Linked DNA regions of Alligator mississippiensis. The protein of the gene in region 1 interacts with the protein of each later gene in a biochemical or structural test. Links are inferred from orthologs where the notes say so. Each region holds a gene or a part of one and is shown in the gene's direction. Other genes may lie near its edges. The genes, in order: PRKCB, RACK1 and RASGRP3.

Region 1 (7,843 bases):
TTGGCAATGCATCCTCCGAGCAAAAGCAGCGCGTTCCCCAGTCTCTTCGGGTTTTATTCCAGGAGAAGCCAAACCGAGCGTGCAAGGCAAGCAGGCTCCTCGGAGCTGACGGGCACATAACTACCGGATCTGCAGGGCCCGCGGCTCCAGGACAGCCGCTTGCTTTGACACCTCTGTCTTGCAAGGACGCTGGTGCTGCTGCCCGGTGGGGAGGCTTCTCTGCGGGCAGCAGGGATCGCCATCCTTTTCCTTCGTGGTCCTGCCCTTTTGCTCGAGAGCACAAAACCAGGGTTTTGAGCCTTTTTCGTCATCAGCCGATCCGTGCTGGCACCACTGTAATTTCTTGCAGTGTTTTTTTTTTAATCAAAAAAAATTACCCAAGGAAAAAGACAGCCAATCAAGCAGGAGGCAGGAAGCGCCAATACAACCTGCAATTACATTGTATCCCTGTAACTTGCTGCAATTGTTGCGATTTAACATAGTATCAAGTTCTCCTCCTCCCCCTCCCCCCTCCTCCCTTATTTCTAGGATCAGTCACAGAAGAGATGCTGTATTTTATTTTTGCAATGATATTTTGCCTCCTGTTACTAAAACGTGGCCAACCTTGGGCTGCCAAGATGCAGCTACTCTATACAATGTATGCATTTCTATAATGACACGACATATTGCTCATTACTTACTCACTTCCATCACATTATGCCGCGGCTCCTGTTTTGACATATTCTTAGATACAGTTGCTGCGCTCTTAGGCCCAGACTTTGCAAGGTGACGGCGGAGGTGTGTTACCATCCCGTCTCTGACCTTTAGACCATATTGAGAGGCATTCTGGCGCCGTTGCAAACGCCCTAGGTGCCCACGACCGGCATGTGATCGACACTTTGGAACGGCTCCTCCAGTCACTCGTGCTAATAGAAACTGGATAAAGTCCGTGCAGTCGCACCGTATCTGATTGGCACGAATGGCTGGAGAGCCAGATCTGCTTTCGCTTTGGCTCAGCGCTGGATGCTTTCCTGGCTGATCTGCTCTGCTTCCACCGCATGCTCCTGGGCACGAGACGGGAAAGGCTTGGTGAGGCCAGTGCAAGACGTCAGCGTGGATGAGCATTGAGGTCCATCCTGGAGAGATGTTAGTTGTGTTTCCAGCATCTCACCTCTCCTCCAGGGTCCAAAAGGAAAAGCAGAGCCCTTGTTGCTTAGCATCTAAGACCAGTCTCTTCCAGTACAGTGTCTCCCATGAGCAGCATCCAGTACAGCCACTTGCTCGCTCTGCTGCTCCCTTCCCGTGAGAGCCGGATTCTGCCCGTGTGTGGATGAGGTACCACCCCTCGACTGCGAAGCAACACAGCCTGCCCTGCTTCCAGTGGTCTTGGAGCCGTTCCCACTGCTGATGGCCTTGTTTTCACGCCCTCTGGCCGATGCAGGGAGACGGAGGTGAAGGAATCTGGGCCAGTTGTTTCAGCACGCGGGGCAATGCCGTCCTGAGTGCTTTGCGTTCCCCAGCTGCAAGAGGAGGATGCTGCTTGCCTACCTCTCCAAGGGACTGGGAACATGAATTCAATATTCTTGGAGTCTTAGTTTTGAGATGCTGGTTCATTTTCTGTAGCTGAAACATGGCTAGTGTTGGGCCCCCAGGGTAAAGTGACTTTGTGCAGCCACCAGCTCCTCCATCGACCTTCTGCCATGGGGTTGTGTGTCAGGAGACAACTGCCAGCCCATGTCTTACTGTCCTTGTTTTCAGTGTCTCGCTCGGGGCAGGGGCAGCACGGACACTATAGCATGCAGGTGATAGCACCAAGGTTGCAAGTTCAAGGTTGTAGCAGAAGTGCTCACAGTGCAGCCACATCTCTGACGTCTGCTAAATACCTTGTCACAAAGTGTTTGGAAAGGAAAGGAAGCGTCTTGCTCCCTGAGCCAGCTAGGAGTTGCTGTCACCGTTTTGGAGGAGAGCCTGCAAGAGAATCTGTGCTCTGTGGTTTGTCAGGACTGGGATGGGAATGAGCTGGGCTGGGTGCCCCTGGGGAGCCGTTTCGGAGCTTGTTTGTATTTCATTGCTTTCATTGCACCGGTGGGGGATTTTCTTGCCTTAATAAAAACAATGGCATCCTCAGAGGAAGGAAGCACTTGGAAGTGTAAGGCTGACCATTTTCAGAGCTGCTGAAAGGCACTGAATGCCTGCTAACATTAAACCTGGCCTTGGAAATCCCGGCTTTAACACCATCTGACTGTCTGTGTGTGAATTAAGAAACGCGCATACTAAACACGGGAATTCCAGCTGCTGTCGGCACCTCCCCACACACGGGGACCTGGGATGCTGGCACAGGAATATTGACACGCTGGTTAACATTTGCATTGAAAAATGAAGGGAAAAAGGTTTCCTGAAAAGGTTTCTGCTACATTCAGGGGCCATGAGCCACAGCTGTGCAGGCTGCATTTGGAAATCAGGGCAGTTACAAGATCAATGAGCAAGAAACAGGCAAAGTGCACTTAGTTACAATTAAAATGGAAAAAACTTAGTACAAGCGTGCCGAATGTAGCACACCCTCCAGAGAGCTTGCTATTCCTTTAGCTAAAGTAATCAAGAACGGGCCATTGTGATTGCCTTCCGTGTGTGTGTGTGTGTGTGTGTGTGTCCGCGCAATGCATCATTTCTGTGTCTCTTACGGAAAGGGCCAAGTCTGGCTTTAATCACTGCCACAGTCAGCACCGTGCACCCCAAGCGCAGGAAACCCTGCGAGTGCACCCTGGGCACTACACGGTGAATCACTTTCTGCAGCGCTCCATGTTCAGCTCAGCGGGTGACAAAAATATCCCAGACTCCAGGGTACGGCTGCAGCCATTGCTTTTCCTCCTGCCTTCAGGGTAGGATGGCTTGCAGCGCTGCTTTAAAATCACAAGGCCCTCGGTATTAGTAACAAGTTGGTTCGTTCCCAGGAAGGATGTAGCAGCAGCATCGCCTCTTAACCGACCTTTCCAAATCTTCGATCCAGTGTTGTGGCTCATTGGAAAAATATGATGACGATGCTGTGGGGCGGTGGCATGCACCGGTGCAGGCACTGAACATGGCAGGCTGAAATTATGACTGCTTTCCTCGGAGGAAAACATTTCAGGTAATCACCGTCGGCCAGAAGAGCAATCCTTCAAATGGGTAGCGTGGGCCATGCGACTTCCAGCCCTGCTGAGGCCCCTGCAGGCAGCCCGGGCGCCCTACCATACTCATCTTCCCAGGGCACCGGGTCATTGTCATGTCTAAGACCACGTGGTGGTTTTACCATCTTCATCCGCACATGAGCACAAACCATATCCCTCGTTGCTGGAAAGTCCTGTGATTATTCTTGCTATGAACACAAGACAGAGCAGGACAGGTCAGATACATGTTTTTCTATGATTATGACACCTTTGAAAATAGCTGCATAACAACTAACTGTGTTGGGGCCAGTTTTAAAATGCCTGCTAGGTGGGGACTGTGCGTAGAGCTTGTGGGGCGTTCGCCACGTAAAGATAGCGAGATTGAGCTGGTCATTGGAGACGAGCACGGGAAGAGCTTGCTCTGACTCGGGGCCGTGGCCGAGGTTTAGTTCTCAGATCCAAGGTGAGCAGCTCCCTCAATCTACGCAGAGCCCCCGGGCGTGGAGGGAGATCTGGACTTGCTCCCACGGTCCAGCCGCAGGATCGCCCCCCTGCACGTTACCCGTCTCCTGCGGCCGTTTCCATGCCACGGCCCGGTTCATGCAGAGACCGGACTAGGCCGTCATGGTTTCGTCTGCCCTGAAATTCTCCCAGGTCTATGAAATGCAAACATCCAGAACTCTTGGTTCAGAGACAATTACTTTCATTAAACCAACTGAGAAATTGTAAAAATATATATATTTCTCAGACCAACACAGCTACCAAATACATCCCTGAACCAAGGTCACCAAGGTCTATGGTTTCACGAGTTTCCAAGTGTTCAGATGAACACGGTCCTGCTCTCAGTGGCCTGGGCCGGGCTTTCCTGGCTCATTATTACTGGTATTTGTTCATGGGGCTTCCCCCACGAGGGCAGTGCCTCCTGCTGTTTTCATGCCTGTGTTTCACTGCACTGGCACGGAAGGCAAGAGGGGGAGATACTCTGCTCAGGTCCCCTCTGCACGGAGAGCCCAGCTGCGCGTGAGCCTTCCCCTCCTCTCCTTGCTGCCGGGGCTGCCCCACCGAGGGCTTCTCTTGCACCCGGCTCTTTTCTTGCACCGCATCCTACACGCTTGCTGGCTTCACGGGAGTGCCAGTGTGGATGTCTGGTAGGTATTGCCCAAGCAATGCCAGTGCTTCCTCCTGCTTCCTACCTGCCGATGGGTGCACGCCCCACCCCCGGCTCCTGCTCAGCCTCCTCCTGGCTAGTGCCCGGGGGCTGTGACGGGGCGCTTTCCTGCCCCGTGTCGGGGCGGTGTCCATCAGGCTGGGGGCTTTGGGAGAGGGCAGAAGCCAACCCCCCAGCTCCCCATGCACCCGGGAGCCCCCTCACTATGCAAAGCAGACAGGTGCTGGGCAGGGGCAGGGGTGATTGTGGCACCTGGGGGGCGAGGGGTGGCAGGCAAGGAGGGAGGGGGCGGAGCCTGGGGCAGATCTATGCAAATGAGGAGAGGACGTGGCGGGGGGAGGCAGCAGGCAGCGATGCAAAGCAGGGGCTCCGCGATGCAAATGAGGCGGGCGTGGGCGGGGCCCGGGAGCGCGGCGGCGCGCCAGGGGGCGGGGCTATGCAGATGAGGGCGGGGAGAGCGCAGTGTGTGCGCCTCGGACTCCCCCAGCTGCGCCCAGAGGTGCGCGCGGCGGCGGCGGCGGCGGCGGCGGCTCGGCCGGGCTCGGGCAGCGCAGCGCAGGGCAGCGCAGGGCAGCATGGCCGAGCCCGCGGGCGCCGGGGCTGGAGTCGGGTCCGGGTTCGGGTCCGGGTCCGGGTCCGGGTCCGGGGCGGAGGAGGGCGAGGGCCTGGTGCGCTTCGCCCGCAAGGGCGCCCTGCGCCAGAAGAACGTGCACGAGGTGAAGAACCACAAGTTCACGGCCCGTTTCTTCAAGCAGCCCACCTTCTGCAGCCACTGCACCGACTTCATCTGGTGAGAGACACCCCGCCGGGCGCGGGTCCGGCCGCGGGTCCGGGCGCGTGTGTGGGGGTGCCCGCCGTGCTCACACCCGTCTCTTTCTCTCGGCAGGGGCTTCGGCAAGCAAGGCTTCCAGTGTCAAGGTGGGTGCCCCGCGCGCTGCCGCTCGGCCCCCGGCCCCTGCCTTGCGGAGCAGCGGTCTCCCTGCCCCGCAGCCGGCTCCCCGGGCCCCGCCACACGGGCTTGCACCCGCAGCGTCTTCCTCCGGGGCTTTGCATCCGGCGTGTCGCACGGCCGGCCGGGCCCCTGGCTCGGGCAGCGCCCGCGGGCTCCGGGTACAGCCCCCCTGGAGCAGGGGGTGGGTAGGGGACCGGGGCGCCCGTCGAGTGGCTTAGTCATGTCTTAGCAATCCTGTTCTTAACGAACCGTCTAAGGCGCCGGTGCCCGGCTAGCAAACCAATGCCCACGATATCAAACCGGTGCCACAGAGAGACCCCGGAGATTAGCCCCGGCGGCTGTTTTCCCGTGGGGAACGCTGCAGGCCGACTTGGGTTTGATGGCAACAGGCGGGTTGTGGGCTTGCAGCTACACGGCGTGCTCGGTGACGCTGCTGGGGGGGGATAGGGCTTTATAACAAAATGTTTTGCAACGGTGTCCAGGGCTTAGCATAAGCAGAGCTCTTAATGCTGGGGATTTTTTGTTTTCAGCCAGTTATGATGCATCCTGATTAACTAAAATCGGTTTAGTCTGCCTTCAGGATTGGCAGGGTTTTTTTTGCCGCTTTTTGATCCTTTTTCAGGGTAAGACTTCAGAGATATTTTTGTCCCACATAATTACGCACATGGGAACTATTTTCTGGCCGAGGTAGATTGGTTCAGGTTCGCATCGAGATGCGATTTGGGATTGAAGCCCATTCGGGGCTGGTGGTATTCGCCAGCACTGAAATCTTGCGCTCGTGAAAGTCGCTCCCAGATCGTCATCTTGACAGGTGCCTTTATCCCAAGATGAGACAATTTGCATGAGAATAATGCCGTGTGCGACACCAGTCTCACTGAAACAGCTAGTCCTGGCAGACTTCATCTGTATCTGAACCAGGAAAGAAGCTCCATTAGGCCTAATATGCAGCCCAGAATCGAACCTGCCACCTAGATGGCTATCTGGAGATTGGCATCACCATGGCCGCTCCACTTACATCTCTTCTGGGATCTGGAGCTTTTCAGGGGATAAGGTTTACTGTGGCCCGTCTCTTAAATATAATGAAGTTTCCAAAACGCTTTGATAAGACTGGTTCTCATCTCAAAATGCTGTTGATAGCATCGCTGCAGAAACTCTTCCCGGGCCCACTGATATCTACTTGCAATGGCCAAAATCATGTGGCCCGTCGCATGTAACTGCATAACGTTGTCCGTGGACATCGAGGAGGGAAAGCAAATGCAGGATGCAAAGCTCAGCTAGAGGCCCTGCCTGCCATGCTAGCCATCACACCTGGTTTTCTCTGTTTCCAGCAAGCCCTACTGATGTTAGTCAAGGTCGCTGTCTCATCTGTTAAGTTCCCAGGGCTCCTTGTGAGGATCTTGGTGTATGTAGCAGCAGCATCGGATGTGTCCCTATAATTGTAGCATCACTGCAATTCAAAATGTAGCAGAAAAGAGGCACCTAGGATTATCCATCCCCCCCCTCCGCAATTTATGATGCCCCCAAACTACGTCCCAAATCATTACACTTACGTAGATGGTGACTTGTTCGTGTCATTTGTACCGTGCTTCGGGATGGGTGGAGTGAGAGCCTCTCTCAGGCACTTCCTCGAGAATCAGACTCTGGTAACTTAGTTGAGCTCATCTTTATGGGGGCAGAAGCATCTTTTACTGTGTGCGCTGCAGTCTGTAGGATATATTTTTAGGGTAGCAATTGAAGGTATGGACTAAAACTCAATATTGTGTGCCCTCAGACCACTGCTGCCCAAAGGAAAAGTCCTGGTGGGGTTTTAGCTTTTCTTGTGGTAGCAGGGGATGCCGGTCTGAGTCTTGGGTACCACTGTTTTTTGTCTTCCTCAGAACTGGTGAGTTTATTCCTAATAATCCTTCTGACTCCATTACCTGCCAGCCTGGTGCCAGATTTGTAGTCTTATTTCATGGAAGTCATGCATTGGGGTTTTTATTCAGAGGGTACCCACCCTGTCAGCTTTCCAGTCACGTATGGTTCAGTAAGCATCTTAATTTGACCAAGGAGAAAAATCCTTAACTTTTCTCTCTCTCTCACTGATCAGAAGGAAGGTTTCATGCTCTGGAAATAATCCAGATTTTATTCTGTTTCCAATTTAGAATCAGTTTTGAGGAATTAAAATGACTTCACAGCCAGTCTTCTGCATGGTCTGAACTGCGGGGTGGTTCTAGCCTGTTACCTTTTAATTCTTGAGATAATTAACTTGCTCTTGTTTTGGTGGGGGTAGTCCATGGTGCTCGGTGCTGTACATACCCACTGCAGTCATATGCAGCCCGGGAGATGAATGTTGTTCCAAATCTTCAGGCATGGAAATGAGACCCAAAGCAATTCAGCCACTTACCCGAGATCCAGCAGGGAGTCTGGGGCAATTGGGAGTTGAGCCCAAATCTCCTGGGTCCTAGGTGAAAATTCAAGCCCCTGCCCCCCGCTTCCATCTGCACAGTGTCCGGGCACCTGCTGTGATTCGGGGCGAATGTGAGCAAAGCGCAACTCTTAATTCTGAGTTGGCGACAAAAACCAGTCTCGTGCCTTTTAGTAACGGCGTCGAAACAT
Region 2 (8,086 bases), on another chromosome or scaffold:
ATTTAGGAAAGTATAAAAGAGTACATTTTTCAAACAAAAATATCAGTGTGATATATGAGCTTGTTCACAGTTCAACTCAAAAACTAATCATACTTTAACAATGACTGCAGTGACTGCACCAGATTTTCATGCCGTCTTACAACAGACACCCCTCCTTCTGATCAAGACACTGCCACCACTTCCCTCTCTCACCAAAGCACCTGCATAGGCATGTATAAGCTGCACCTCATGCCTTTGCTTCAAATGTTCTGCATACTGACATATGGCAGATTATCAATGTTGTGTATTGTGAATAGCCTTACAAATTCTGACTTGAAAATATTATATCATGTATTAAAATGTGCAAACAAAAAAATGTTTACAATACAAGGAAGGAAGGAAGGAATCATTTTTTATAGGGGTGCACCAATAGAGAATTTTTGGGCCAATACCAATGGCTGATTTTTAACAAGCCATATTGGCCAATACTGATCTGATTGCTGATATGCAGCTGGGAAGCTTGGAAAGCAGTGTCTGGCTGGTAAGTCTGTTGTGGGGGAAGAGGTTAGGGGAAAGGAAAGGGGCATGGGGGTGGCAGATCAAGGCAGCCACGACGAGGGAGGGAGTGGGGCTGGGGCAGGTGCTGCACAACTGGGTCAGAGCACAGGATGGAACTGCAAGAGGTTCATCAGAAGGAGGGGGGGAGGGCGGGGGGCAGCTCCTGTTGCTGCATGCATCCCGGGAGGATATGTGGGGCATGTGCCCCTGGAACTGCACGTGGGGCAAGGGCAGGCTGCTGCTGCAGTCTGGGGCCGTGCCAGGCTCTTCCCGGTGGAGGTTGGGTCAAGCTACTATTGGGGTAGGCAGCAGCAGCATTGGAAGCAGGGCTACGGGGGGGGCTGCAGCCACCCCAAAATTCACCATAGCCCCCTCCTGGTGCTGCTGCCACCCGCCCCAAGCGCAGCCTGGCTTAGCACCCCCTGCTTGGGAAAGCCCTCACAACAGACTTACCAGCTGGACCCGGCTGCTCTCCACACTGCTGGGCTTTGCTCCTGGCCGCCTGTGTGCTGCGCTGTGGCTGTGCGCATGCATGGGGCATTTATTGGTGGCATTATCGGTTACATCAGCCAAAAAAACCTGACTGCTGATACCATCAATTTTCCTTATATTGGTGCTGATCTTCTATGGGACCGATGTATTGGTATATCTCTAATTTTTTGCATAGCACTTCTGCTGCTCTTACAGCACGCTACTGTGCCATGGCACACCCTTTGGGGAATCTGAGAAGAGCAAAGTTTTAAAATTTAATTTAATTGAAAACTTCTTCACTGCTACCGAAGATACCCCTTCTATGCCTCTTTCCCCCCTATTTTGCCATAGAATAATAATAAAAAATGTTATTTTAAATGCAAAGTGCTGCACCTAGGGAGGAAAAATGTCCAGCACACCTACAGCCTAGGGAATGACCTGCTGGGTGGCACAGAGGTGGAAAGGGATCTTGGAGTCCTAGTGGACTCCAAGATGAACATGAGCCGGCAGTGTGACGAAGCCATCAGAAAAGCCAATGGCACTTTATCGTGCATCAGCAGATGCATGACGAATAGGTCCAGGGAGGTGATACTTCCCCTCTATAGGGCGCTGGTCAGACCGCAGTTGGAGTACTGCGTGCAATTCTGGGTGCCACACTTCAAGAAGGATGCGGATAACCTGGAGAGGGTCCAGAGAAGGGCAACTTGTATGGTCAAGGGCCTGCAGACCAAGCCCTACGAGGAGAGACTAGAGAAACTGGACCTTTTCAGCCTCCGCAAGAGAAGGTTGAGAGGCGACCTTGTGGCTGCCTTTAAGTTCATCATGGGGGCACAGAAGGGAATTGGTGAGTATTTATTCACCAAGGCGCCCCCGGGGGTTACAAGAAATAATGGCCACAAGCTAGCAGAGAGCAGATTTAGATTGGACATTAGGAAGAACTTCTTCACAGTTCGAGTGGCCAAGGTCTGGAACGGGCTCCCCTACCCTGGGGGTCTTCAAGAGGAGGTTAGATGAGCATCTAGCTGGGGTCATCTAGACCCAGCACTCTTTCCTGCTTATGCAGGGGGTCGGACTCGATGATCTATTGAGGTCCCTTCCGACCCTAACATCTATGAATCTATGAAATGAATAAAAAGTTTGTATTAGAATGAGTCCATATATATTCTTTGGTTTTCCTCTATCCACATGGAAAAGGAAGCGGGGTGGAGAGAAGAGAGAAAGATGGCAATTTAAAAAAAACTGTTGGTATCATTTAATTTGTGATGGCTAATAAAAAAAAAAAATGTTCTAGGTTGCATTACTGAAAAAACTTCAAAAAAACTTCAAATGAAATAAATCATTTTGTTGAAAATTTCTCATGAAAAAATATTATTTTTTTCAATTCTCAGAGATTTTTCTTGTGAAACATCAAATAGCAAAAATGAACTGGTTTACAATTTGCAGCTTGGCCTCTCTCTTGCATTTATGTCATCATTTTCCCCCTAAACTTGTGACTACCACACATCCCTACTGGATATTCTCCCAAAATTTTGTAGACATTGTGGATTAGAAAATGCAAGACAATTACCCCATGAAGAGTCCAATATTATGGGTCCAGCCTTTCAAGATTTGTGTCTACTCCTCTTATTCAGCAAATATTTAAGCGAATGTTTAATTCCCATTGAATTTCTAGCAAGTAAAAGATACCATTTTCTGTTTTGATTGATTCTGGATTTTTTTTTCTTTTAAACTTTCAAGGAAAAAGCTTGTTAGTAACAAAAATCAAAAAAGCTATGCTAATGGCATCTGGGCCTGGAGCAGTCTCTTCCTGCCTGAATTCTAAAAGTATGAAGTTATTTTAGTTAAAAATAACTCTTAGAACGCACTGAGAGTAAGATCAGGTCCAATGCATTTTTAATTAAGCACAACAGCGAAATAAATACGTAATACTTCAACATTATCAAACAGTCTGGTGTTACATTACTTGGAAGTCAATCTGAAATACATTTCAAGTGCAAACCTTTTCGAATACATATTGAATGCTGCGTTCACACAAAGAGTTAAACAAATTATCACAGAAATATTTAATCTGTCCAAAAAAAAATGGTTTCTACTGCAGATATGAAAAACGTTGTTTTAAATACCTGTGGCAGACGAATCCACCTACCTGACTGATCCTTTTGAACAGGTCTACAATTTTTAAGCTGTAGCTGGGAAGTCCAAAGCATACCTTTTGTCAAGATAATCATTTAACACGCATCGCTTTTCAGTCTATTAAGTTGCATGGATAATTCCAAGTGTAAAAGGGGCCAGGAGTGTGATTGTAGTCTTTCCTTAAAGTTTTTAAAGAATTCTCTTTTAATTCCAAACTGAGAAATGTGCTTTGATCTTGCAGCATTTATAGAAAGTGGAAGTAAGAGTAAAGGAGATATGTTAAGGTCCAAAGGGATCTGAACTAGTGGTAGAGGTGACATCTTTTATTAGACCAATTAGATTTTTGCAAAAAAAAGTTTCATTTGCAAGCTTTCAGGCACAGGGACCCTTCTTCAGGCATAGGAGAAAAGACTGTAAAAGTTCTCCGAGGTAGAAATGAAAGTTCATATTTCATAGGAGAGTTGAAGGTGTGGTAAAATCTCCTGTTTGGAACACACACCAACTGCTGAAACTTCCTTAGCCTCACGAAGGGTTTTTGAACCCGAAAGCTTGCTTAATAATTATTTTCCAACTATTTGGGTTGGTCTAATAAAAGATATCAGATTCACCCAAGGAACCTTGTCTGCTTATGTCCTTAGACCAGCACGGCTACAACCTACACCCCTGTCTGGAACAGTTCATTTTATGCAGCTTAGGGCCAGAAAAAAGTTGGACTAGTCTGTTTACCTCGAAGGTGTTTGGTGGCTAGCAGGACGTAGAGTTATATTTCCTTCTGGTTATGATATTCCATATTTCACAGAATAAAATGATGGGCTGCTCTTCTGGGCAGGAATTTCTCATGTGGCAAAGTATCTCCGGGCTCTGTGATAATGCAAATTACCTCAAACAAAGGCAGGAGCAGGGTCTCAGGTGGTAAAACGTACTTCCTTCTTGTAAAATTTCATTAAAAAAAAAAAAATCAGTGAAAATTAGGGTCCAAATTAATTTCAACTGTGACAAGCTTGAAGTTGTTCCTGGTCCTATATTAAAACAATTTTTTTTTTCAGAAATTACCAGTACTGGTATAAATTAAAATAATATAGATTTGTTGATCATTTGTGATAATCACAGAATCATATCAAAGTAGGGCTGGAAGGATGTCCAAAGGTCTAGTCCAGCCCTGCTTGAGGGGGAATCATCCCTATCCCAGCGAGCCAGCCCTTGTCTAGCCCAGCGGCGTCACACTCCCCTTCAGGGCAGAGGAGCAGCACAAGAACAGTGAAGGGGCGCGGGGTGGAGCCAGGGCTGGGCTGGGGGGGCGGGGCAGGGCGGGGCGGGGCGTGTCGTGTGTCCCCGGATTCGTGCACGAGGCGGGGTGCGCTGCATGCTGCGGGCTCAGGGCCAGGAGCGGTGCTGGCCTCTTCCCACAGGGGGCGCTGGGCCGGGGCTGCGCTCGGGCGGGGCTGGGGTGGACGGCGGCGGTGGGCTGTATGGGGGGGTTCCGACAATTTTAGGGTGGCTATAACTCACCCCTGCCCCCCCCACTCCCAGCGCTACAGACAGCTTCCGACCCCGACCATCACCTCGCTTCAGTTTTGAAAGCGGGCGTGAATTTAGTGTAATATCAGCGGCCACACGCGCCAGGCCCCGCCCCCCCGCTCTCATTGGCAAAGGCCGCTGTACGGAACCGCCACGTAGTGGTCGCCATGACAAACCCCAGCGCCTCCGCAAGGGCGCCGCCATCTTGGCTCCTGCTTGCGGAAGCCACCATGTTGGCTGGCGGGCGCCTCTCCTTCCCGCCTTCTGAGTGACGGCGGCCGGCGGCAGCCATCTTGCCGTACGGCGCGACGCGACGCGAAGCTTATTTCCGTTTCCGGCCGACGTCCCGACTTCCTTTCTCTCTGGGCCGCTGCCTGAGCGAGTGCAGGGTCCGGCCCGCGGCCGCCGCCGAATCCGCCGCCATCCTCCCTCCCCCGCGCGCTGAGCCCGCCGTGCCGCTGCCGCCATGACGGAGCAGATGACCCTGCGCGGCACCCTGAAGGGCCACAATGGCTGGGTGACGCAGATCGCCACCACCCCGCAGTTCCCGGACATGATCTTGTCCGCCTCGCGCGGTGAGAGCGGCGCCGGGGGTGGGGGCGGGGCAGACCAATGCACCCGCTTGGGGGGGGGGGCAACCTGCAGCGGGTGGCATAAAGGGCTGTGGCTGACACCATCGTGGTGGCAGCTGCGGGGGTGGGAAAGTCCACCTCGCTGCTTGGTTGGGGGCTAGGCAGAGACCAACCCTGCAGTGGGGGTGGGGAACCAGGCAGAGGGAGATACCATTTTGCTGGTGGGGGGAGGGTGGGATGTGCCATTGGGGATGCTGGGTCTGCAGCCACGTGGAGGGGTGGGATGGGGGATGGATCACTGAGGGGCCAGGACACAGGGCTGCACCATTTGCTTCAGCATTGTGCAAATGTGGCTGCAGCTGGAGGGGATTGGGGCCCTTAGGCCTGGGAGGGGTTGGGGCAGCAGAACCTGGTGCCCGAGACGAAGGGGCAGGTGTCCGGGAAGAGCCCCTGGGCAGGGGGCCGGGGAGGTGCGGACCTTGTTCAGGACAAGAAAGTGGAGCTCAGACTTCTGGTTTAATTCCCATCTCTCGTCTGTACCAGGCTGCAGGGCTGGGTGGGCTGCTGGGACTCAGTTTCCCTAGCTATGGGGTGGGGGGTGCTGTTTATTCGTCCAGGAGCTGGAGGTGGGGGGTATTGTGAGGGGAAGCCCCACTAAAAGGTGTTCAGGGGGTGCTACCTGTTGAGGCTCTCTGAGGGTTTTGGGAACTGAAGGTCTTTGCAGGATGGTGGGGCCTGTTAGGCTTTCAATCCCTGAGAGGGGGCAAATCCAGCAGAAAGTGGGGAGGGATCAAAAGGGAGCAGCTTTGGGACCTTCCTAGCCTAGGATCCCTTCCCTACCCTCAGGCTGTCGTGAGTTGGTGGTGCTCTGGGGGCTTGCACAAATTCCTTGTCTGGGGGTGGGGGGTGCTCTCTGCTTGCCCAGGATGAAGTTTCTCTGCTTGCCCAGAGGCCATCAATGCACTGAGGTTCATCCCTGCTAGTATCATGGAGCTGCACACCTCCCGATCCCAGTGATTAGACCTGACGCGTCTGCTGACCCTCTGGGGTCTGATGACAAGTCCTGCAATTATGATGGGATTCTGGGAAGGAGGGTGAGTGGGGCTCCCTGTCAGGGCACATTGTTCAGGAGAAGCCCATAGCTATAAAATAAAAGAGAGGGAATTTGGAGACCTAGTGCTTAGGTGAGCATTGGGGATAAGGGGTTTTGCCGTTTTATGCAGCCCTGTCTCAGAGGAGGGGACAGGTTGGTGCAATGGAAAGGATATTGGGAACCGGACGCATGTTGGTATAATCTAACTTGCCCACGTTTGATGAGACTGGTGATCGACTGTGCCATAGAGGTTGGGACTGGGTAAATGCCACGATTGATTCCAGGGGCTGTTCTCAGGATTGGTATGAAGGGGTTCAGTGGTTGCTGCCCAGTCCAGTCTAGGGGCAGTCTCCAGGCCCCGTGCTCTTTTGCTGTGGTAGGGAGACGCAGCTAATTCCTTTTTGCTTCTCCTGCACAGACAAGACCATCATCATGTGGAAGCTGACCAGGGATGAGACCAACTATGGGATCCCACAGCGTGCCCTGCGTGGCCACTCACACTTTGTCAGCGATGTGGTCATCTCCTCTGATGGGCAGTTTGCCCTCTCTGGCTCCTGGGATGGCACCTTGCGCCTCTGGGACCTTACCACGTGAGTGACAGGAAGAAGAACAGGGCAGGGTGGCTTCCTTGGCAGAAACAGAGTCTGCGGGGCAGAGAACATGGCGAAAGAACACAGTAGAACAGACAGGGAATAGGATACCCCTGGGGGTGATGCTGAGATTTTCCCCGCTTCTAACTTCCTTGGCCTGTTTGCTCTGCAGATCACAGCCCTCCTTCCCATCCCACTGCACTGATGCACTGTGGAGTAGTACTGGCTGCCCATTTTGAAGTCCACAGACCAGTTACAAAAAAGCAACCAGGGATATAGCAAGGGTTGGCAGTTTAAAGAGGGGAGATCCTTATCCCTGTGTGCCCCACATTTTCAATTCCAGGTCAAGCATTCTTTGTCCTGTGCACTTTTTAATCTTAAGACTTCAGAAATGTTTGGTTTCGGAGTACGGGTCACCAGCCTGAAACAGCTACTTCTAGGAAATGGCTAGCTCAGCTTTTAAGACTGCAGAAAGCTGGTAATCCAGATAGTTTTGTTCATTCCTTTTCCCTTCTAGTCCCAATGATTAAACCTGACACAAGTCTGCTGACTCTCTGGAGTCTGACGACATGTCCTGCAATTATGATGGGACAGGAAGGGAGATAGGGAGCTTTATGGTCTTTCCTGCTGGTCATGTCCTTTATTTTCCTTGTTCCACCTATTTTTTTGCATGATACACCTCCCATCCTCTTTTATCTACCTGGGCTGTCTCCTCTGCGGGTTCCTGGATTATGCTTCTGCTCTAACATTTCATTTAGTTTGCTTGTTAGGGTCTCCCCCCGCTCCCCTCACCCCACCCAACTCAGAACCTGGCTCATGCTTCTTGGTGACCTTCAACTCCATGAGCCCAACCTCCCCCCACCCCAGTCCTTTTACCACCATGCCTCTTCTGTTGCTCTTTGTGAAGTTTAGTAGGGATTTGGCAGGTGGATGTAGGAGGAGGTGTCCATAGTGACACCAAGAGTGACCCGAATGTTTTTCCTTTTGCCCCCTGCAGAGGTACCACAACCCGGCGATTTGTGGGCCATACCAAGGATGTCCTGAGCGTGGCCTTCTCATCTGACAACCGGCAGATTGTCTCGGGTTCCAGGGACAAGACTATCAAGCTCTGGAACACCCTGGGTGTCTGCAAGTACACAGTTCAGGTGAGGCTTGCAGAGGGTTGCCTGGTG
Region 3 (8,025 bases), on another chromosome or scaffold:
TCTATGAGAAACAAAAAGTAGCGTCACAGATTGCAAAACAGAAAAAATATCAAAGATTCATGCTATTGCTTTGAGGCTCTTGAATCAATTTACCTACCATACACATAGCTAGTTCACAGCATGAGGATCACAGCCAGCAATTACTGTAACCTCATGAGACCCTGAACATGCAGCACTGCTTATCAACATGTTATCATCCATGCATGTCAACTTGCTGTTTGAGTCTGAACTGCTGCTTTCTCCTGCTTCTTTTTTATCACAAAATAACTTGTTCTTCAGGCTTCCCCACAGCTGCCAACCTGCAAATCCAGAAGGATATGTTTATATTTGATGGCTTTCCTGGAAATCAAACACAGTTGCTGTATTTGTAATTGGAATGACCCTTCAACTTACAGCTCCTCAGCTGCTTAACCTGGCACAGATCCACTGAGATCAATAGGCCAGATCCCCAGCTGGTTTAGATTGATACAGCTCAGAAGTAACATCCATTTATATGAGCTAAGGATCTCATCCATTGCCTATGCTCCATGCTACAGGGTATGTTTACACGAGACACTTACTGTGCATTAGCCTAATAACACTGTGCTGTAAAGCATTACAGCACAAATCATGCTAATAGCCTACTGTGCAGTGTTATTAGGCTAATGTGCAGTAAGCATCACTAAATAACTATGCACCAGTGCTAATGGGCAGTAACTCTAGGTACTGTGCATTGGGTTAGTACTTTATCAAGCATATACTAAACTAAATGCACAGTATCTAAGGCACATTAATGAATGTGTAGACATGTCCACAGGGACCAGAAGAGCTGTGTCCTTCTAATTCACTCCTTGCTTCTCAGAGAAAAGTGACTTCCAAAGTAATAATTTCAGGCAGCCAAACATGAGCCAAACTTGGGGGAAGCCCTCATTCCACACACTTTCTCAGCACAGCTCAGCCAGAGCAAGGCTTCATCTCATCCTTATTAGTGATGTAAATCTTTTTTTCCCAACATCATGGACTAGGATGATTACTGCTGAAGTGCAAAACTATGATCCTCTGAGCAAATGTTTGTATGTGGTGACTTTTTCTTGATGTCCAAGGGTCTGCTTACACATGTCAAGTCAAGCATGTATCCATGCAGTTTTGGGACCCATGCCCTAAATAAGTTCTAAGAAGGAGATGGAAACAGACTCATCTCTTTAGGCTATGGGCACCAAGATACCTAAACTCCAATCTTGTGCATTCAAGGCATGCTCTAGATCTCTATATATGTGCATAGAGAGATAGAAGGAGTATATAGCTTACTTCCTGAGTGTTATAAGACCAATAAAATTTATTGTGCTCTAAAAGTGGCTTCCTCTGGCAGTTATTTACATCATCTTTTAATACACTTTATACCCTGCAACACTACCAGGGCCCCATTCCTCTCTACGCTAGTTGCTGAGGTACAGGCATGTGCTATGCCCCATCACTGGTTATGCCAGCTTGCAAACTTTGCTTGTGAGCTGGAGGAAGGATTCTGCTTGCTAGGCTCCCCACTGGGCAATACAGCTCTACAGACCTCCAACAGAGCTATGTCCTAAAGGCAAATTTGAGCCCTCTGTCATTAAGGGAAGCTCTGAAGGAGGAATGGTTGTGCCAGACAAAATAAATCTTTCCTGCTCTAAGGCTAATGTCCCACAGTTAAACTCTGGCTTCACATGATCTGACATCCCTAACAGCTCCTTGCTTTCCAAAAAGCACTTTGAAGTGTAAGTCTGAAGCCTTCCCACCATGTCTCCCTTGAGGAAGGCTCACTTAGCAGGAAGCACAAGCAGCTTGGAGACCAGAGGGGTGTTTTTTTCCCCCTTTCCAAAAAAAAAAATTGGGAATCTATTTTAAAAAAAAAAGAGTGCACCACTGGTGAGAATTTCCTCTTGGTGTCTGATGACATCAGACAGCACTGAGGGGAAATCCTGCTTAAATCCTTTCATTCAATTCTTAATGCTTTGGAGATATTTTTGGCCAATGTTAAGAAACTTGTTTGGTTTTTGGTGCTCAGGAAAGTAAGGCTAATGGCACAGATAAATATGATGCAAGCTGTCTCCCACAAATGAGCTTTTATTGGCACCATCCTGCCTCTCAACCCCCTAGTCCAGTGGTTCATAACCTGTTTAGCCTCAAGGCACCTCTCCATAACTTTTCTGAATTTAGCAGCACCTGGGTTGAGAAGTGATTTTGTAAAAACAGCTTAGACCTATTACATGGTCATTGTCTCTCAAAGTCATCTTACCAAACTGAACTAACTTTTCCTCGTGTTGCCAGGCCTATAAGCACTTCAGACCTGGGGTGTGAAATGCAAGCTGAATTTTTTCAGTCACAGAAATCATCTTACTGTTTCACTTAAAACCAAGGATGCACCCTTTGGTTTTGAAGGAAAGTTCTGGGCATGTTTCCCCAATTTGCAAGCAAATAACCTGAATGCAAAGACTGAGCTTTAAAGGATTTTTCAGGTAATGAACTAATTAGAATTATAACTAACTATATTTATAACATTTGTAGTAACATTTATTTTCTAAATGGCCTGTTTTATTCAGGTCTTTCTGTAAAGCTAATGATCAATGTTGAGATGAGGAAATATGGTAATCTCTGTGAGAGATTTGAGCACCACCTAAGGGAAAGGCTGTTTTTAAAGGTCCTTATTGTGTTAATGTTTGATATACTGCACATATTCATCATAGTTTCTCTTATCACCATGTTTAGTGAGAAAATATTTTTGGTACCAAATGGAATATTACAGAGCCGTTTTATGTGACTTCATGTTTCTAGCCTCAAGCTTGTAAAGAAAACCTTGAAAATGTCACCTGACTTAATTACCAAAGACTTGAAAAATCTTTAGCCAGACTTCATCAGCATCTAATTGTTATTCATTGTCAAGCAGAAGCTCTTATAATGAAAAGTGGCATTCTTGTGAAACACAGTCAGGCCTTTTCATGAAGATGCTGTTCTTCAAGACATGGTATGCTACTGTTCGGTTACCGCTACAAAAACAAAGTCACTTATACACAAACACACTGCACTGTGCAACAAGTAAGGTTGCTCATCACATAAATAAGCCTGAAACAAACATGGCAAGTTCCAGATCACTATGACTTATGCACCCAAATCCCATTGCCTTTCTGTGGGACTTGGGCTCTTTTAAAAAAATGTACCTAAAACCTCAAAAGGAAGGAAATGGGAAGCTACGCCATCTTTCAATATATATCCCTTATGCTAAGGGACACATATCTCCCCACTAGCACAGCCACCATTCATCACAGCTATCAACCCCACAGCCTTAGCTCTTCTCTCCAAGTTATGTTAATATTCCAGTTTCATACCAGCAACTGCAAAAGACAACAGAGAAAGACAAGGTTCTTTGGGTGAATTTGGTATCTTTTATTAGACCAACTAAACAGTTGGAAAAATTGTTCTTTGCAAGCCTTCGGGTTTGTACTCAAAAGCTTACAAAGAACAGTTTTTCCAACTGTTTTGTTGGTCTAATAAAAGATAGCACATTTACCCAAAGAATCTTGTCTGACTATGACCTTAGACCAACACAGCTACAACCAACAGCCACAAAAACAACAGAGGCCATTTATGCAGTTATTTGTATAATTTGCATAAACTGAGCAGGATTTGTGTAGGGAAGTGAGGTAGAAAGAATGCAAAGAAAAAAGAGAAAGGGAAGGGAGGAAAAGTATAAATTAAAAATTGTTAATTTCAAAAGCTTCTTTAAACTATGCCTTTAATATTCCTATTAGCCTTATGAGCAGGGATCCTGGTTTTCTCTGATTAAAAAAATCCCCAATTTCTGGATTAAAAAAGTAACCCAAAATCCACATTTTTCCATGATCAACTGAAACACCATTAATATACTTTTTTTAGTCAAAAAATTGGGGAGGTAGGGGGGTTACCAGAAAAAAACAGGATCCCCCAGTTAAGTTAGTTGCTTATGTATGCCTCCACATTTAAAGCATTTCAGCAGCTCCCATGTCATAAACCAATCTAACTTTTCTGATTGATCAAAACAAAGAAAACTACAGCATGCACATGAAGGATCACTTGGATTGATCAGTGTGAAAAGTGCTGAATCATTTTTCTTTAAATCCGATTTAGGGCCTAATCTAAAGCCCCAGGGAAATTCATAGAAAAAACACTGTTGTGAAACAGTTCAGGCTGGAAAGGCTCCAACTGACTGCAATAGGGTTTGGATCAAGCTTCCATTCTTCAGTTCTCAAGACAATTAACAAAAGTTTGATGTTTGTATCCCAGTCACGGTTGAATGGTGACCCATGTAAAAATGTATCAGAATATATGTAGCAGAATAACTGTTTCTCCATGTGCATAGATTTTGCTTCAACTTTCAGAATGGGTTGTAACTCTAAAAAAGGAAAAAAAATGAATGGAGTTGGAAGTCAAACTTAAGCTTAGTTTTAAATCCTACTCCTATGATGATGCTCGAAAAATAAAGCATTTTCTAAACAGCTTTCTCTGTCCTCCTTTTATTAAAACTTCCCCACAAAGCCTTCGCCTGATTTTGAGATGGAGAAAGTATGCAAAATAAACACAAAAGTGAAGCACTTATTAAAGAAAATGGTCTAATTGCCATTATGCCCCGTTACTGTGTTGTGCAGCCAGATGGACTCCTAATAATGTTTTAGAACCAATAATGTTCTGCTCAGAAAGACCGGTACTTTTGATGTGGATAGTATTTGCATAACACGTCTTAAGAAACCTCCTCTAAGTATTTTACACTCAAATAGGTATCCACTAGAAAAAAACTACAAGATCTCCCCTTTGTTTAAATGCATTTCCTGCCTTCCTTATTGCTATGTTATGTGTTGTGGCAGACCTATTTATAGTTCAAAAAAAAAAAGGAAAAAGCTCCACTGGAGGCAGGAAAACTAAGTCGGGAAAGAATAGGAGGAAGTGTAGCTGCCAGTTAGCCAAACAATCTAGAACTAATTGAGCTCAAAAGAGCCACAGCTTTACTGTAGCCACCAAGAACAAACAGCACAACTCTGTTATTCGCTTCAGAATCCTTCATATGAGGTTGAATAATGAACATGGTGTGAGTAGCACAGAAGAGCAAAGGAAAATCGCAGCATATGAACACTTGAAAGAAGTTAGCGTGAGAAAAAGAACAGTGGCCTGAAAAGGGGTGGACTGAACTTGACACCTTAAGGTAAGTCTCTTCCTTTGGCATTTCAGCTTGTACTTTTAATATCTTTCACAGATGAGCAATCTCCTAAATGAAACGGTGGGCTTTGCAGAAGCAATTTTTGCTTCCCAAACAGTTCTCCAGGTGAACTGGCTTTTACAATAAACTTTTTGCTTTGAAATATTGGTTATAGATCCTTAACGGGTTGCAATAACCACAGGTATCTGTGCTAAACATCCCCTACCAAGTAAGGTTGTTATCTCATGTATATTTGGGTTTTGTTGGCGCTAACAGTCATTGATTACATATTAAAGCTATGATAATGAAAGGTTTGATTCCTATAAAAAGCATGACGTCGAGCAAAAAATGCATTATTACAATGTCATGGACTCAGAGAGTTCATCTTATCAGATGTGTTACAAGAAAAGGATCCAATCTAAAATGGAAGCACCTTAATGGTATATTGTTTTTAAATTCAAGATGTGAAATAACTTGTTGGGGATTTTACTAATTTTTTGTTTTTCTATGTAAAACCATGCAGTCGCATTCCAGGGTCTGTCTTAATCAACAGCCTGAAGCAGACGATAAAATTCAGTCTTCCTGTCTCTGGACAGTTCATGCTTTTCTACAATGTTATGAAATCATCTATAAAAGCTGCATTATATAATGTCAGAGCACAGATTATATGATTTTATCTGATGAGTACTGAAAGAGAAAGGCTCTTCATTAAAAAGAGACCTAAAATATGTATTTGCCCTCAGTGATGATGATAGACTTAATTTGTAGGGGAGGGGGTTTTGTTTGGCTTCTTTTTCAGAAAATTCTGCTTTGCCGTATGCCAGAATAAGAGACAATAATGAGAGGGGAAGGCAGAAAGAGAGAAACATAGGCTACTTCATACTAGAAGATTCAATATTCTCCATGCACAGCACAGTATGTAGCTACTACTGCTAGATTTTCAGCCTATTTTAACAAATTGTGAGAATAGAAGTTGTACTCGTGTCAGTGATGTACTGCCTCATATCTGTTCCACGAAGTACGCACATTAGTCACAAATTACTCATGCTATTAAAGATTAGCAGTCATTGTAAAATGCTGCTAGTGAGTAAAAGAAAAGGAAATGTGTGTGTTGTTATGCTGCCTTATCCTGGTAGGATGCTGTTACATTCGGAGCCTGTTGTTGTGAAGATAGCCAGGCAGGATGTCTGCTGATACCCACTGAGGTGAAAAGCTGGGGGAGGACTATCGTAAACAGTGGTAATCGGTACTGCTTACTAAAGACCAGAAGTGCCCACAAAGTACTGTGAAGTGCTGAATGGGTGATGTCAATGGAGTTTGAGATTGAGCCTCAACACCTTGTAAAATCTGGCCCTCGTGCACTTCCCAATTTTAAACTCCTTATTCTTTCTATACAACAGATCTCTCTTCTGAAAGGGCTTGCTCTTGAGAGATATGGAGCACCTCTGTGAGAACGAAGTGTGTGAAAACACTGAACATGGTGCAAGGCCGAGACCTATGAAAATATTTATTGTAGATGTCCAGATAATCCCAACACATTTGCAGGGAGAACGTTTATCATTTTGCAGGCAGAAGGTTTACCATTTTGTTTTTACTCAAGTCACTCAACCTATGTGCCTCCTGGGGGCATATTTCATGCGCCTAAGTTTATTGTGCAGTAAATTCAGATGCATTAATTGCATGTGTAGATGCACCCACTGAGACCAAAATGTGCTTGATGTGGGTAAGCAGGGCCATCCCTGGAGAGGGAGTGACTGCCCTTTGGGGGGCCCCGCGGAGCCCGGCAGAGCAGCCGCGGCACCTCCTACAGGGCCCACCTAGTGCTGGTGACTCTGCGCCACCACTAGCTTCGTGTCTGGCCACTTGCCACCCTCCCCTCCATGCCCCCCCTGCTGCTGCTGCCGCTGGCTTCTTCGCATCTGGACCACGCACAGGCTGATTTGCCCCAGGCCCCGCACCCTGCTAGGATCGTCTAGTGGAGCAAACTCACTGTTCTCTCCTACTGACAGTCAATCGTATGAGGAGCAGAAAGGTAGATTAAAACTAACTATACCCATAATCACCCCCACTCCTGCAATGGAGCAACTCAGAATCAAAGCCAGTATCTTCAGTACTGCCAATAGTATTCAAAACTTCTGCTTCAGGCTCTACAAGCTCATGTTATTGTTTTTAAAATAATACAGCTTCTAAAAGTAATAAATGTTGGGGTCTTTTTACTTACCTTCTTCACTTCAAGCCTTTAGGATGAACTTTTTCAAGCCTTTTTTGCAACCACAAGAGCTAGGAAGCTAATTAAAAAAAACAAATTTAGATACTTTCACAGTCACATGATTCTAGAAGTTGGGGCTTTTAAAAATATAATGAGATTTGCATTAAAATTATAGAAGTTGACAAGCTCACAAGGTTCAAAACACTATTTGTAGATTCAGGTCAAAATATTTGCTGGCTCTGGAGATTACATATACCACAAGGGGAAATTCTGTACTGACAGTTTAATCACCCTATAAGCAAGGCCATAGACCTTACTTCATAGCCACTTAAGGCTACATAATCTGGATGGATTTTAAAACTACTCTGTGACATACCCTCCAGAGATATCTAGGCCCCTTTTGATGCATGCAATGGCATGCAGACCTGGAATTATTAAGACGTCTATCTTTACAAAATGAAAGGTGTGTGATATTTCAGCACCTAAATGATTCAGAGTGACAGGAAATTGTCATGGCTATTCAGCTGCCTGAGTGACTAAAAGTGGTGTTAATCAAGATAAAAAGTAAAATGTAAAGGTTTGTTCTTCATATACTCCCAAGCATGGAAGGGGAGGTTCATGAATTTAAACTTCA

What was found.
Region 2: the proteins of PRKCB (region 1) and RACK1 form a complex in vitro, tested with the Homo sapiens proteins (2 studies listed by BioGRID). The link is inferred for Alligator mississippiensis from reciprocal best matches to the Homo sapiens genes PRKCB and RACK1.
Region 3: of the proteins of PRKCB (region 1) and RASGRP3, one has a biochemical effect on the other in vitro, tested with the Homo sapiens proteins (2 studies listed by BioGRID). The link is inferred for Alligator mississippiensis from reciprocal best matches to the Homo sapiens genes PRKCB and RASGRP3.

What each region holds. Positions count from the first base shown.
Region 1 is NC_081836.1:58,191,028-58,198,870, forward strand, and holds the start of PRKCB (protein kinase C beta type), read left to right. Parts: upstream 1-4,805; 5' UTR 4,806-4,868; coding exon 4,869-5,083; intron 5,084-5,179; coding exon 5,180-5,211; intron 5,212-7,843. UniProt on the Homo sapiens protein: Calcium-activated, phospholipid- and diacylglycerol (DAG)-dependent serine/threonine-protein kinase involved in various cellular processes such as regulation of the B-cell receptor (BCR) signalosome, oxidative stress-induced apoptosis, androgen receptor-dependent transcription regulation, insulin signaling and endothelial cells proliferation.
Region 2 is NC_081834.1:51,398,148-51,406,233, forward strand, and holds the start of RACK1 (small ribosomal subunit protein RACK1), read left to right. Parts: upstream 1-5,015; 5' UTR 5,016-5,125; coding exon 5,126-5,234; intron 5,235-6,742; coding exon 6,743-6,914; intron 6,915-7,911; coding exon 7,912-8,059; intron 8,060-8,086. UniProt on the Homo sapiens protein: Scaffolding protein involved in the recruitment, assembly and/or regulation of a variety of signaling molecules. Interacts with a wide variety of proteins and plays a role in many cellular processes.
Region 3 is NC_081824.1:168,158,959-168,166,983, forward strand, and holds the start of RASGRP3 (ras guanyl-releasing protein 3), read left to right. Parts: upstream 1-4,947; 5' UTR 4,948-5,188; intron 5,189-8,025. UniProt on the Homo sapiens protein: Guanine nucleotide exchange factor (GEF) for Ras and Rap1.